Neurospora crassa OR74A: one gene and its partner. Each later gene encodes a partner of the first gene's protein in a complex. Links are inferred from orthologs where the notes say so. Each region holds a gene or a part of one and is shown in the gene's direction. Other genes may lie near its edges. The genes, in order: NCU16016 and cox-6.

Region 1 (3,916 bases):
TCGAGGCGAGCTTCGCTTAATTTTTTTTTTAGCCGTCCCCCCGCCCTGCAGTACTGCAGGGGGGGGGTGGAGGGAAACGGAGGAGGCCGTAAATAATTATTTGATCTTAGCAAGGGATCAGGATTACGATGTAAATGGTTTACCCTTTGACTGCAAATCTTAAGGATTAGGTTCGATTCCTACGTAATCCTTTAGGGTTAGCCTATAGCCAATTTTTTTGAGGCTAGCTTAATTTTTTTTAGCCGTCCCCCCGCCCTGCAGTACTGCAGGGGGGGGAAGCTAAAAAAAATAAGCGCCAGCCCAAAAAAAAATGAAGCAAGCTGCCCGCAAATTTAATAAATTTACTAACTATCTTAATGAAAAAAAAAAAATAATTCTATAAGGGGAGTAATTATCTGTATTTAGGGCTTAAATAATATGGGGGTAGTACATAATAATAATATTTAAGCACTAAAACATATATTTGTTTTTGTTTTTAAAAATATATGATAAAAAGACGCCTCGCGGCTCGATTTATTATTTGTATGTAAAATAAATTTAGGTTTAGTTTAGTTTGGAGGCGAGCTTCGCTAGCCCCTAAAATATACAAACTAAATCTTCTCTTGTAGGCTACAAAGGAATATAAGATACTAAGTAGTATCTTAACTGATGTTGTAGAAAAGGCGGAGTGATTCTGAGGCAAGCTTCGCCCGCCTTAACAAAATATGTATTATGAAGAAATAAACCGGTAAAGAAATATTTCTTTTTTTTTTTATATACACTACCTACATATTTTGGAGGCGAGCTTCGCTTAATTTTTTTAGCCGTCCCCCCGCCCTGCAGTACTGCAGGGGGGGAAGCTAAAAAATAATTGCCTCCCAAAATATTTTTAATATTTTGGTTAAATAATAAGATAAGTCTTCATTTTCTCGCGTAGCGGAGGCTCTCCTAACAAACCCCCCGCAAGCTTGCGGGGGTTTAGAAGTGGGAGCAAAATGAATTATAATAATAACTTGTGCGCTCCTCCAAAGGCGCTCATCCACTCTTCACAATCCCCCTTCCCCCCCCTGCAGTACTGCAGGGCGGGGGGACGGGGGGATATGTGGATAAGGGTAGCGAGAAAAGTTAATTTACTACATGAGGCTAATGGAATATTGGATAGCTGACTTAATATAGCAAGGCACTTCGTTGGTTCTAATACTGATTTAGCCGTGATTCCGCCTTTTTTTTTTTTTTTTTTTTTTTTAAAAAAAAAAAAAAAAAGAAAGTCCACAAAACATTGAAAGGCTAGTGTGTTTTTTAGTAAGTCAGTCAATCACCTACGTAGGTGATCCAGAATTACGTTACCGGGGATATTCTGTTGGTCGGTTTACAGAATATCCTGGTTAGCATTGATTGTATAATCAATAAGATGTTGTAATCTTATTTTATTTTTATTTATAAGATACGTAACCATTATAATAAAAACCATTATATTATTTAATCAATTAAATAGTGAGGAGTTTGGGCTCTCTTTAAATTCAAGTAAAAGAAGTGTCGGGTTAATGTCGTCAATTTCGATTTGAACTGAAAGATGATTTTTATCAACGAATGCTAAAGATATAGGAGTTCTTTATCTAATCTTTGCGCTATTTTCTGGGTTACTTGGAACAGCATTTTCTGTTTTAATAAGAATGGAGTTAAGCGGACCTGGGGTGCAGTACATTGCAGATAATCAATTATACAATGCTATAATAACTGCACATGCGATCTTAATGATTTTCTTTATGGTTATGCCAGCATTAATAGGTGGATTTGGTAATTTCTTGTTACCATTATTAGTAGGGGGTCCTGACATGGCATTCCCAAGACTTAATAATATTAGTTTCTGACTGTTACCACCAAGTTTACTATTATTAGTATTCTCTGCATGTATAGAAGGTGGAGCAGGTACAGGATGAACAATTTATCCTCCTTTATCAGGTGTACAAAGTCATAGTGGACCTAGTGTAGATTTGGCTATCTTTGCCCTACATTTATCAGGAGTTAGTTCCTTATTAGGGTCTATTAATTTCATAACTACAATAGTAAATATGAGAACACCAGGAATTAGATTGCACAAATTAGCTTTATTTGGATGAGCTGTAGTTATTACAGCTGTATTATTATTACTATCTCTCCCCGTGTTGGCCGGTGCAATTACTATGCTATTAACAGATAGAAATTTTAATACATCATTCTTTGAAACAGCTGGTGGTGGTGATCCTATTTTATTCCAACATCTTTTCTGATTCTTCGGGCATCCTGAGGTTTACATTTTAATTATACCTGGTTTTGGTATAATAAGTACAACAATATCAGCTTATTCTAATAAATCAGTATTCGGTTATATTGGTATGGTCTACGCCATGATGTCTATTGGAATATTAGGATTTATTGTTTGAAGTCATCATATGTATACAGTTGGTTTAGACGTGGATACAAGAGCGTATTTCACAGCAGCTACATTAATTATTGCAGTTCCTACAGGAATTAAAATATTCTCATGATTAGCTACATGTTATGGAGGTTCTATTAGATTAACTCCTTCTATGTTATTTGCTTTAGGTTTTGTATTTATGTTCACAATTGGGGGATTAAGTGGAGTTGTTTTAGCGAATGCATCTTTAGATATAGCATTCCACGATACTTATTACGTAGTTGCTCATTTTCACTATGTATTAAGTATGGGTGCTGTATTTGCAATGTTTAGCGGATGATATCACTGAGTACCTAAAATATTAGGTTTAAATTATAATATGGTGTTATCTAAAGCTCAATTCTGACTTTTATTCATAGGGGTTAATTTAACATTCTTCCCTCAACATTTCTTAGGTTTACAAGGTATGCCAAGAAGAATAAGTGATTACCCTGACGCATTTTCAGGTTGAAATTTAATAAGTAGTTTTGGGTCAATCGTAAGTGTAGTAGCTTCTTGATTATTCTTATATATTGTGTATATACAACTAGTTCAAGGAGAATACGCAGGTAGATATCCATGATCAATCCCACAATTCTATACTGATAGTTTACGTGCTCTTTTAAATAGAAGTTATCCTAGTTTAGAATGATCTATAAGTAGCCCACCTAAACCTCATTCATTCGTGAGTCTTCCATTACAATCTTCATCATTTTTTTTATCATTTTTTAGATTATCATCATATGGGGAACAAAAAGAAATCAGTGGGAGGCAAAATTAATTTTCTTGAACTTTTAACTTTCATCCAATTTTTAACTCATAAACTAACTTTAACACCACCAAAACCTCACCTTTTTGTGACCTCAAATTTACAAGCATCTATTTGGAACTGACCTTCTAAATCTCGTATTACTGAAATATCTAAAGCCATCTGAATGAATATGATTAAGAAGTTTAAAATATTTATTTTTTTTGCTCTACCTACTATGTTAATAGTTAAAGGTATATATATTTGTTATGATCAGGAGATATGAACTCTGGTATTTTTTACTCAAAATTTGGTAAAAAATTTCCCTTTTTTTGGCTTAAGATTATTTAATATGATTTGAGTAGAGTCCAATTTAGGAGTAGAAGCGTCCAATTTAGGAGTAGAAGCTCCTAAAGCTTCTTCAATATTTTTAGATCTTCATCTTTGAACCTTGATGTACCTATTTGGTAGTTTAGCTAGAATTTTTGGAGAACTATATTATAGTGATTTTGAATTACCTGCGGGTGTAGGTGGTGAGTCTTGTGAAAAAAAAACACCATCTCCACGTGGACCTTTAACTTTATATAAAAAAGGTTCAGACTCAGGTGCATCAGGAGGTTCAGATTCACCTCCATCTGCAAAAGGAAATTCAGGTGCAAGCTCAGGTCCTAATCAAGACCGATTAGCACCAGAAACAGATTCAGAGGATGAAACAACACAAACAGATCAAGGTCCTAGATCCCGAGGTTATC
Region 2 (3,953 bases), on another chromosome or scaffold:
ACGGCACCGGCACGGGTCTTAAGACATCGAAATAGCTACTGCCACTCATGACCGATAATGACCTTAACTGATGACATTGATGACAGTGGAGAGGCGCGGCGAAGCCCGTGATGAGATTGCAGTGTAGCTATTTCACATCGGGGTTCATCAATCGTATCTCGTGAGTGTTCCGGTGCGACTCAACGCGGGCTCCATCGAAAAGGGTCGGTCCTACCAAAAATCAACATGCCCGTTGAAACACGGATGAGATCGATGATTGACTCGAGACTTGGGGGCAGTCTTCTAGGCCGTTCAAGGTCCACCAAATAGCTACAACCCCCTACATCGGATACCTCGTTCATCATGCAGAGCGTCAACTGTCGGGCCGCAACGGGCTAACTCTTGATCAAACGAGTAGTGTAGAGTCCATGCCGAGGTTTGGGGAAGTAGCTAGTGCAGGACGTTCACAACTTGGTTATCAGGAAGAGATATCGTGGAAATTGATACGAGGACGTTCAAACACCCAGGCGAGCCCGAACCAACGGTGCGTATAAGAGAAGGTGAATGGCTTGCCCTCCAGCGATTGAGCTCACAACCTGGGGTGGCCCAGTGCTACGGTAAGACATTGACCAGCGGGTATACAAATTCGGTTTGTTCAATGATTCAATCGAGTCCATTTTTTTGAGGTTTCGCGGCTCTCGCCTGTTCAACAACCCCAACCCACCAATACTACAAGACGCGTTTTCTACTCTCTCCGAACTACATACTGGCTTTCGATCAGCCCATCATTCATCCACCCACAAATACACGAGTGTACAAGCCGTGAATCCTGAGATGACGAGACCATGTGCCGGTCAAAACATTCGGTTGGCAGTCAATTTCTTCCGATGATAAATAGGTTGATCCGTAAATCTCCAGCGCTTGCCGGTTCAAATGTTCCCAATCCTGGGAATTGTCTAAGAAAAAAAGTGAGGGATATCAAGGTCAACACGATGATGAGTTGAAGTGAATGTCCGCAACAACAGACACCACTTCATTGTGTGAAAGACCGACATGAGCAACACGCACTGGTTGCATCATCGCTGCAGGACGGATCGGATAAATCGACTGTGTTGGATGGATAAATCGACTGTATAGCAATTCGCGGGCTACCCCCAAGGTTAGTGTTAGGGTTAGTGGTTAGGGTTAGGTGTTAGGGTTAGTTCCGGGGGTGCAGGGGGCCGGTGAGAGGCCCCCGCATATAAATGAGAGTTCAACGCTTTAGAAAAAGTCGTTTTGAGCTTTCGTTGTCGTTGTCGAGACAATGATATTTTGGTGATGACTTGCGATCGCGAAAGTTTGGCGCGAGAGATGCCAAGCTTTGGGTCTTGGCTGTCAGTTTGTATGGGCTCCACACAGCGGATTCATCTGAGCACACAGTCGATTTATCCGGCTCGCTGCAGGAAGGCGTTATAGGTACCCCACGTTCTGTTGCTTCGACATCAGCCTCATTATGAAGTTAAAGAAATGTTTCAGCCACTTCAGCCACTACTGGTGCGGAAAAGTGGGCTGTTGTCTGTTCAATTGCATACCAAGCTCATGTACGAATTGGAAAGGTGAGCTTAGGGAGCTTGTGCACTGACCACCGAGTGGCTTGTCCAGAAGTACCTCGAGGGCGGAAAAAACACAGCTAGTCAGCTAACCGGAAAAGACATAGCCGAAGTATTCGAATGGTCCGATGCAGTGCAATACCGGAGACTTCCACTTGGGTTGAACAAGCATTTACGTCGCACACCATCGAACCTCAACCTCGTTAGCATTAATTGAGACCATCATCTCAGCTACCGTACCTCCCTCTACGTAACGTGCGTGCTTCTCCGTCTCCGCCGCCAATTACCGCCTTGCCTTTTCTTCCCCCCCGGTCTTCTCGCTTCGCAGTTCCAGCTTCTTACCGTGTGCTCTCAATTCTCATCTTCTAGTAGCCCCCTCCGTCCTTCCGTCACAATGGCCTCCTTCTTCCGCACTGCCGTCCGCGGTCCCTCCGCCGGCCTCTTCCGCGCCGTTGCCCGCCCCCAGCCCATCGCCGCCCGCGTCAGCCTTTTCAGCACCTCCAGCCGCTTCCGCTCCGAGCACCACGAGGAGACCTTCGAGGAGTTCACTGCCCGGTGAGTTTTGCCCCGGCAGCCCGGCCGGGAAGCTGCTACCTCTCCGAGCCCCGGAGGTCCCAGGCCCGAGCTAGCTACCTGCCTATCCTAGCTCGGCTTCACTATGACGTGATGCCTCCGACTCTCCTCCCCTCAGCCTCAGCCAGGGCCACCCCATCAACACCTCCATGCGCCCTCGAGAACTCCCCAATTCCTAACTTGCGCCTTTTCCAACAGCTACGAGAAGGAGTTTGATGCCGTTCAGGATGTTTTCGAGCTTCAGGTATGCACCACCTTCCATGCTCCCGTCCCACTTCGACTCTCACGGCCTACTCGACGACGCACCTTTTGCATTATCGATCAAGGGACAACAATGATTCAACTTGTTGGGTAGGGGCAAGGGAAGGAAGAGACTGTGAGACTGACGCTGGCATACCGAAATTAGCGCAACCTGAACAACGCTTTCGCTTACGATCTCGTCCCTTCCCCCTCCGTTCTCGCCGCCGCTCTCAAGGCTGCCCGCCGCGTCAACGACTTCCCCACCGCTGTCCGCGTCTTCGAGGGTAAGAGCCCCCGTCCTAACATCCATCACTGCCGCCACCGAAACCCGCACACATCGTAGCCATCGACGACCAGCCTATGCGTCAATACCAAGGTGTCCGATAAGCTCGGGTGGATAGGGAACAGCAAAACGGTCTTTTAGGAACCAGAACCATGCTGACAACGGGCTTCCGTCATAACAGGCATCAAGGCCAAGGTTGAGAACAAGGGCCAGTACGAGCAGTACCTCGCTGAGCTCAAGCCTCTTCGTGAGGAGCTCGGCATCACCCTCAAGGAGGACCTCTACCCCGAGGAGGCCAACTAAATTTAGGACCAACGTAACTTAGAAGATGCCATGAGAATCACCATTCCAACGACCCATCAATTATTCTCCCAGAATCTTTGGAAGTTTGAAAAGAGGGGATATGAGAGTATTGTGGCGAGAGGAGGGGGAGTTTGTGGAAGGGGAAAGCGTAGCGTGTGTGCTTGGAACCTATGAATAGGAGAGCGCACTCAACGCTAATTCCCTGGTACCATACATGTTTCTTTGCCTAGAGAACTCCTATTGCAGGAAGTAAGGGCGTAGTATATCCAAGAGGGCCTTAGAGAGAGGAATCGAACGAGTTCAACCTGTTTGTCGAGTTGGATACGATAACAGTTGGTTGTGTCACGGATTGTGTTTGGACGATGAATATCCCATGCCATGATCGTAGAGAGCAGCAAAATAGATGTATTCGAAAGGCAGTAATGAGTTTACCATAGATTTTACAAAAGCTGGATGCTGGTTACCATTCGTCATAAGAGATTGACCAGATTCACGATTGTCATGCCTGGTTCTACCTGGATTCTATTGCCTTTATCCATAGCAGGTAGAGTAAGTATCTAGAAAAAGGTAACCCCAATGCGCCGAGTGCCTCAACCTCTTTCATGTGCATCCCTCGATCCTCAAATGCAACCTGAGTACCTTGAACCATACAAAAGAAAATGAAAACAATCGATCTAATGAACCGTAAGATGTAAGATAGGGAGATGGGTATTGTGAAAAGATATTCCTACCGGCTGGAGAGAAAGAAGAAGAAGAAAAAGACCAATAGGTAACAAGCAATAAGCAAACAATCGTTTCACCAACCATTCCACCGTTGACAGGGACATAAGGAAAGCTGACCTGAAGCCATCTTAATCGTTGTCTTTGTCTCGGTCCTTGGTCACGAACCAGGAAAACAGCTGCAGTCATCGACCGACAGCCGAGCCATTCTTTCCTTCTCTCAAGCACCCAACGATCTCGCTCTCCGACCCCCAGGTTCGGTTCTA

What was found.
Region 2: the proteins of NCU16016 (region 1) and cox-6 are in contact, whole or in part, in a cryo-EM structure (PDB 8DH6), measured with the Saccharomyces cerevisiae proteins. The link is inferred for Neurospora crassa OR74A from reciprocal best matches to the Saccharomyces cerevisiae genes COX1 and COX6. Residues at the interface, in NP_009305.1 of Saccharomyces cerevisiae: Asp496, Phe497, Val498, Glu499, Ser500, Ile503, Leu506, Asn507; in NP_011918.1 of Saccharomyces cerevisiae: Leu66, Phe67, Gln70, Leu73, Asn74, Arg106, Glu109, Ala110, Tyr113.

Annotation. Positions count from the first base shown.
Region 1 is NC_026614.1:37,745-41,660, forward strand, and holds NCU16016 (cytochrome c oxidase subunit 1), read left to right. Parts: upstream 1-1,523; coding exon 1,524-3,197; downstream 3,198-3,916. Other genes in the region: NCU16017 (hypothetical protein), read left to right, coding at 3,160-3,916. UniProt on the Saccharomyces cerevisiae protein: Component of the cytochrome c oxidase, the last enzyme in the mitochondrial electron transport chain which drives oxidative phosphorylation.
Region 2 is NC_026505.1:4,303,867-4,307,819, forward strand, and holds cox-6 (cytochrome c oxidase polypeptide VI, variant), read left to right. Parts: upstream 1-1,686; 5' UTR 1,687-1,823; exon of another isoform or gene 1,824-1,937; 5' UTR 1,938-1,962; coding exon 1,963-2,123; intron 2,124-2,339; coding exon 2,340-2,385; intron 2,386-2,547; coding exon 2,548-2,665; intron 2,666-2,845; coding exon 2,846-2,967; 3' UTR 2,968-3,411; downstream 3,412-3,953. UniProt on the Saccharomyces cerevisiae protein: Component of the cytochrome c oxidase, the last enzyme in the mitochondrial electron transport chain which drives oxidative phosphorylation.